2 linked regions of the Bombyx mori genome follow. The protein of the gene in region 1 binds, or shares a complex with, the protein of each later gene. Links are inferred from orthologs where the notes say so. Each region holds a gene or a part of one and is shown on either strand. Other genes may lie near its edges.

Region 1 (2,920 bases):
CAGAGCACGCGATGTAAAGAATATGTTAGGTAATTTTTTCACACCTTGTGTTATATTATTGGAGTTTTATAGTAAGGATCCCTAATTTTTTTCAAGAAAGATTATAAGCCTATGTCACTCGGGAAGAGTGTAGCTTCCAAACAGTGAAAGAATTTTTCAAATCGGTTCAGTACTTTCGGAGCCTATTCAATACAAACAAACAAACAAATCTTTCCTATTTATAATATTAGTATAGATCGATGCCTCCAATGAACACTACTCTCAACTCCAAATTCGTAAGTTTACAGGAGGAGCGTTTAAACGAAAAAAGCTGGTAAAATCTTTATTATTGCAGATATATTTTTGCCTTTTCTTGTGTAACTAGCTGATTTACTCTTGCTTCGAACCCCATTAATAATGAATATGTAATAATTTTAAAATAGTGATGAGATTTGCGTGAAAAACGAAAATTTCAAAATTTTGAGTTAGAGTAGGATCGAGATTGGTGGCATCGAGATATAGTTTGTTATAAAAAGGAAGTGGATTATATTTTTCACTATGCTTAATATATTTGCAGCACTTAGCAATAGCTTAAGCAATGTATGGATAACTCATGTAAATTAACATATTAATGCTATGCGCTGAGGTTCGGGATAAATAAAAAATCTACCGAAGTACAAGTTAACACTGTATTAGCACTTAGAACACATAGAACACTTCACAAACACTTTAAAATTCTCCATTCACTTCTTCCGCTTCGCTTCAGGTGATCCGTTCGCTGTTTCGCTTCGTGTAGTTCATATTACTAACTGCGTGCCATCTCTGCAACGCTTTTACAGTCGAGACGAAATCCCTAGAATCATTAAGAATATTCCACAAAAGTCGAGTACTGTGTGTTTCCGTTGTCTGACAATAGATGGCGCTGTACTTCTCGAGCGCTCTAGATACTATTACATCCTTCGATACTCGTTCGACTATTCGGCGATAGATGGCGTTACTCTTACCGGCGTAACAATAATATTCTGCACAGTATCTGGTCACATAAGATATATTATGAGAAATAATAACATAAATTTTCTTTACCGACTACCAAGCAGGATCGTCTGGTTGCCAATGATTTCATACAATGCCGCAAGATTGCCGAACATGTCGTGGAAAAAATAGTTGGCGGTGGGGATGTAAATGGGGCCAGTGCGGGAAGCGGAAAGGGGAGTGCTAATGAGGACAGCGGAAACGATGGCTCCCCTGAGGAAAAAGTTGAGCTGCTGTGTTGCGATCAGGTAAGTTGTTTCCAGAGGTATTTTTTGCCACGTACCATCCGGCTTTGGAATGAGCTCCCCTCCACGGTGTTTCCCGAGCGCTATGACATATCCTTCTTCAAAATAGGCTTGTGGAGAGTATTAAGCGGTAGGCAGCAGCTCGGCTCTGCCCCTGGCATTGCTGAAGTCCATGGGCTATGGTAACCACTCACAGGTGGGCCGTGCGCTCGTCTGCCTAAAAGGGCAATAAAAAAAATAAAAAAGAAAGTTGTTTGAAATTCATTCATTGAAATGACATTCTCGAATGATAATTTTCAGGTCCTGGACCCAAATATGGACCTAAGAACGGTCCGCCATTTCATTTGGAAGTCCAACGTCGAGTTCACGCTACACTATCGTATATTAAAACAATGAAATACGCATAACTTCAGCGAGTGCAGAACGCAACTAAAGAAGTGCCTAATGTTTCGTTGTGTGCTTGAATAATGCGCGAAACGAGGTCGCTTTGTGGTCACACTGAAACGTCAAATCTGTCATCTGTCAACGTCAACGCTAAAAATGTCAGTTGGCGAAACGTCAGATTTCGTTGTGGTAAGGATTTCTCCGGTGCTGCCAGACTTGGAGTTTTTTGTATAATCATTGGAAACGGAAATTTATAAAATATTTGATGCATTGCGAATATTCTTATTAGCTAATTTAAATGTTAAAATATAGCAATAGGATAATAAATCTTCATCAATGAAATAGAGAAAAAATAAAGACATTTACGAGACTTCATGACATGTTTTTCTTCGAACTAGGTATAAGAGGAATATTTCTGTTCTACCGTGAAATCATATTAAATCTGTCATTGGTCATCTGATTGAAACGAAGTCATAATTAGTGATTTTTAATTAGCCCGCAATATTGCCAACAACAATATAATGTATGATAATTGACAATCTACGTAGAATAATAATTGAAATAATTTAAATAAAGCATGTAAATGTTAATGTGTTGTTTTTCATTTTTAATAAACATTGAATAAGACTGGAATGGCTGTGGAATGAGCTCCCCTCTACGGTGTTTCCTGAGCGCTATGACATGTACTTCTTCAAACGAGGCTTATGGAGTACTTAACGGTAGGCAGCGGCTTGGCTCTGCGCCCGACTTTGCTGATGTCCATGGGTGACGGTAACCACTCACCATCAGGTGAGCTGTATGCTCGGGTGCCGCAGAGCAATGACGGGCTTACAGTTGAAGGATAGAATGGAAATATCAGTTCAATTGAAGCTCAGTAGTGACTCATGACTCAATGTGAATGACGGCAGTCCGTGTACATGACGAAATTCAGTTTTTTTTCTTTTCATAATATTTCTAATATGCGCCATCTTTTATTAATCACAAGGTATGAGTGAATGAGGAGAATTCGTGAAACTCATTGTGCTCTGTAAAATATAGATGGCACTGTTTACTATTTTTTCCACATTTTTCACTCGAGTTTGTCTAAGCGGCAGTGCTGCGTGTAGATCGTACACTATTCACTTCTTTTTTTCCCTACCTATTCTAGTAACCTCGAGGGGTTATTCTAGATTCACCGATATAAAAATATATTTTTTTTATTCTAATATTTATTAGAAATAAAGTTTTTAAATTATTAATAAGAGTTAATATACGTACAGACCGCCAAAAAAAAAAAAAAA
Region 2 (4,567 bases), on another chromosome or scaffold:
GTCACCAGTGTGAGGTTTGCTGATGTAGAGGTTTTATTGTGCGCTCTCCTCCGGAAACCTCATCAGAGTGGTCAATAAAACACTGAATATGATTATTATAATATGTTTATTCGCGGTCAGCAACCGCGGTGGATCGCTGTACGTTAACCACTGACTGACTAACGTATGTTGCTCATTACTATAAATGCATAGTAAGCTAAGCGGGGCGGGCTATCATTCCCCTACAATAATATACATTTAAGAGTCAGAGTAAATAAATAAATAAATATTTACTAACAGCCACGCCACGTTAACTGGTCCCGTGATAAGTTCGTAAAGAACTTGTGTTACAGGTACCAGATAACGGAAATAAATGTAAGATTTTTATTATACACATACACATATTTAATATACATCCATAACCCTGGAAAAGACATTTATATTTATCATACAAATATCTTCCCTTGGCGGGATTCGAACCCGCGACCCCCTTGTGTAGTGACCATGTCACTTACCACTACACCAGACAGCCGTTATGTGTTGTATGTTAAGTGTGTATGTATCTTTCTTAAATACTCTTAAATGACTGGACCAATTTTAATAAAGTTTTCAGGAAAACTTCAGATTAGTCTAGGATAATCCCGTGGAATTTTATAGCAGTTGAATCGAATTCAAAACAAAGATCAGTGAGCAAAGTGGGCCTGATAGTCCTATATAAAGGATTTTTGCTTTTTCATATTATTCTTTTATTAAAACATCACAATGTGTAAGGCACCAGTTGCTTTAAGACATGAGTTTTAAGTCTTAATTATATTATTTAATGGCATTCCCACTCTTCACACTCAAACCCATGAGTGCTTCATAGCATACATAAGACAGCATCGTGGTGTGATGGCCAATGTAAACAAGACAGTTCTCATCATCATCAAAGTGAATCACTATACTTTATCATCACAAGAAAAATTATAAGTAAATATAATAGAATATATTTCCCGTTTGTAAGAGTAAAAGAGCTCAATTATAATAATTTTGTTTTTTATTCAATACATTTACAGTCCATCTAATATCAAACAATTAGACAAAAAAGTTGAGATATTGTGCATTAAAACAATAGCTATGTTGCTGTATTGTATGCTGTATTACCAGAACACATAAAGTGCTTATTGAGGTAATGGGGTCATATACTTTCTTGTTAGCTCATAAGACTATTTACGAAACAGGAAATAAAAAGAGAAGTTGGATTTAATAGAAAAAAGGATTTAGGAAAGCAGAAAGCAGATTTCACATGCTCACTCAGCTTGAGGTCAATTAGGTAGTTTCTGATTAATCACACAACAGAAAAATCCCATGTAAGGTCATATGAGGCTTATAAAATCAAAGGCAGCTAAACACCATAATGTCGTAAAATGTATTAACAATGGCTCTATCTTGTTTAGTTAGTTGAACATGCTTTAGTGTTTTCATGTTATAACAAATGCAGCTAAATCTCTAACAAATTCAGTTCAAAAAAGTTAAGTTTACTCTGTATTAAGTACTAATAAACGAAGTTTTATCATTTAAAATTCAGATCATTAGTAATATTCTCATTCTTTATAAATCTGTTTTAAAATAAAGAATATCGTAGCTATACGAACAAAGTTATTTCAGATTCTCAAACCGGGTGTTGCTAACACTGGCCCTAGCAAGAGCGGTACTTCGATGGATCAGGAGGGTCCGTAATGACGTATGTAGGGCCGGTTTTTGTAGTTTACCTGAATATTTGACAGACTTGGATATAGCTGCCTTTGATTTTATAGGCCTCATATATCAGTTCTACGGTTTTTGTAGTTTACCTGAATATTTGACAGACTTGGATATAGCTGCCTTTGATTTTATAGGCCTCATATATCAGTTCTAATCACTATCTCTTTATTTTTAACTTTCATTTCTATATTAATTACTTTATGAGTTTATTTGAACAAAAATTGTATTACTCACCTCTTCGTTGTATAATTTACTTAATTCTTTTTTAATAGGGTCTATTAGTTGTATTTGGCCAGTAGAAAATCCTATAACTAATGATACACTATCAGCCGTCATTGTGACAGTATTGAAATCATGACATGTAGGATTAGTTCCTTTGTACATTTTCTTGTCTACAGGTTTGGTGAGATCAGCTGCCTGAAAAAATAACAGTATCACTAGTTATCTTACTGCTGTAGGCCTTTAGAAATCTCTTGGACACCACAATAAAAATGCTAATGCCCACTTCAAGACAAATTATTGAAATATCAATTGTATTGGTAAAACAGCTACTCTTTGTTTTAAAATATACTAATATTTAATGCAGTATGAAGGCAGTTAGTGTTATAGTCATTCTTATGGACTCACAGAAAAAGACTACCCACTAGTAGTTACAAATAAAGGCATTACAAACTAGGTATTTTCATAAGGTATAGAAATAAGTGATGATATTTCTGCTAAGGAGGAATGATACGATATTAACTATTTCAAGTAGTCTTATATTCATATCATATTGTTTGTAGTTAGACACAATAATAAAATTAGTATCCTCTAGTCCAGTTGATTATGCACATGATATTTTTCTCTTTAATTTGGTAAATAAACAATGATTACCTTTTTGACACCTCTGTACACGTAAACATAGAGTTCTTTGCCATGATTGAAACATATTCTGTCGTCCGAGTTTTGAGAGTCCGAGTTTCCGACTCCAGGACTTGGCGGCAATGACACCAGAGACACGCGGACGTGCGAAGACCCCGACCCGCTGGTATAACCCACGCGATTTGGTCTTGAGTACTCCGACAAAGTCATCAAGCGGTAAGTCCCTTCGCGTGTCACAAACTGAGTCTTTACTTCGTCCTTCCCTCCAGAGTCCGATTGCACAGCCATATTAACATATTATCCTGTTATTATTCATGGAGACTGCTGCAAGAGAAGCTCCGATTGCGTTTGATAGATTAAACAGTCTGCCAGCCGGATTCCCACCGGTCGCACACGATTGCCATCACTTGTTCACACGTGTTCGAGTATTAAATTCATTCACCTATCATACGATAAGTCTGTTTGATTACCGTTTTTTAATTATAAGCGTTGATTGAAGTGAAAAGTTGTATGCAGTCACAAGTCAGGTGTCGATGCTTGACAACTTGACGAAATGACAAGTGACAACGTCTTAAATGTTATGTGTATTATCTGTGTTTTTTTTTTATTACTTAAACGGGTAGACGAGCTTACAGCCCACCTGGTGTTAAGTGGTTACTGGAGCCCATAGACATCTACAACGTAAATACGCCAACCACCTTGCGATATAAGTTCTAAGGTCGCAGAATTGTCACAACGGCTGCCCCGCCCTTCAAACCGAAACGCATTACTGCTTCAGGGTAGAAATAGGCAGGGTGGTGATACCTACACGTGCGGACTCACAAGAGGTCCTACCACCAGTAATTACGCAAATTATAATTTTGCTTGTTTGATATTTATTAGTACGTATTTCATTAGAAAAATTGGTATCTGCCGGCGGGATTCGAACACCGTTGTATCGCTAGATCGATAGATTGAATAACATTAATACAAACTCTGAAAACTGTTTTAGACAACTACCTATGAAAACTATCCATGAAAACGCGCCTAATTAGACGCGCTAGGACTTACCGCTTGATTTAACTTTTAAATTTTATGACGTAGAGAATGAAAAAACACGATAGAAGTCCCTCTCAATTCATAAGTTTTTAAGTTATGGGCCTTACCAGAAGGCTCAAAATCACTCTCAGAGCAAAGGGGAGGGGACGAGCTATGGTTGGAGTTTCCCTGCAAAATCTAATAAGAATGAGAGGATTCGTAGAAGAGCAGAGGAAAATACCATAGTCCATAGGTTGCGTGCGTTGGATGCAGGCGGCGCGGGAACGGCATTTCATGTCATTATTGTAAAGCTGAGGTTAGAGCAAGGTTGGTCGACCACCTACCGATAGTAATAAATTGGCCGAGGGCCCAATTGCATAATTATGCTAATCATAAAAAAAGAACAATGAAATCTAAACTACTTCTTGAAAATTCATTGATTTATTTCTAATTTTACATTGTTTATATCACTTTTTTCGGATAGGTATTGAGTATTTTCTTTTTCAATAGAAACCTCTTCAACTTTAAGCTCATCTGTGTCTTTTTCTTCAACAGGCAATTTAATTACCTTATTATCATCTTCTTTTTCTTCCAAAAATTTACCCCATTTATCTAACCTCTGATTAATGTCTGCATCAGTTTCAGCAATTTTGTACTTAGTTTTGCCATCCCATATCTCTGCAGTGATTTGTCTTTTGCCAAACCATCTTCCGTTGATCAGCTGAACAACAGCATCAGCTTGTTCCGGCTCTTTCATAGTTATCTGTGCCACTCCTTCAGGATGGCGATCATAGAGCACTACTTTCCGAACGTCTCCACATTTTCCACATTCTTCCCTCAAATCTTGCTGATAGTCCAGAATAAGCTGAACCTCTTTATCAAAATCACTAGAGTGGAATAAATTTTTAACAATAACTACTCTTTCGTGTTTAGAACGTTCACCAATAAACTTCTCTGGCCTCCAATC

What was found.
Region 2: the proteins of WD repeat-containing protein 48 homolog (region 1) and WD repeat-containing protein 20 are in contact, whole or in part, in a crystal structure (PDB 5K1C), measured with the Homo sapiens proteins. The link is inferred for Bombyx mori from reciprocal best matches to the Homo sapiens genes WDR48 and WDR20. Residues at the interface, in NP_065890.1 of Homo sapiens: Val191, Lys207, Gly208, Gly240, Gln241, Gln242, Arg243, Cys244, Ile245; in NP_653175.2 of Homo sapiens: Arg20, Ser364, Thr384, Glu385, Asp386, Glu524, Pro525, Leu526.

What each region holds. Positions count from the first base shown.
Region 1 is NC_085134.1:8,701,880-8,704,799, reverse strand, and holds the end of WD repeat-containing protein 48 homolog, read left to right. Parts: intron 1-1,073; coding exon 1,074-1,259; intron 1,260-1,556; coding exon 1,557-1,652; 3' UTR 1,653-2,230; downstream 2,231-2,920. UniProt on the Homo sapiens protein: Regulator of deubiquitinating complexes, which acts as a strong activator of USP1, USP12 and USP46. Enhances the USP1-mediated deubiquitination of FANCD2; USP1 being almost inactive by itself.
Region 2 is NC_085131.1:12,892,886-12,897,452, reverse strand, and holds the start of WD repeat-containing protein 20, read right to left. Parts: upstream 3,128-4,567; 5' UTR 2,872-3,127; coding exon 2,596-2,871; intron 2,140-2,595; coding exon 1,957-2,139; intron 1-1,956. Other genes in the region: HIV Tat-specific factor 1 homolog, read right to left, coding at 4,034-4,567. UniProt on the Homo sapiens protein: Regulator of deubiquitinating complexes. Activates deubiquitinating activity of complexes containing USP12. Anchors at the base of the ubiquitin-contacting loop of USP12 and remotely modulates the catalytic center of the enzyme.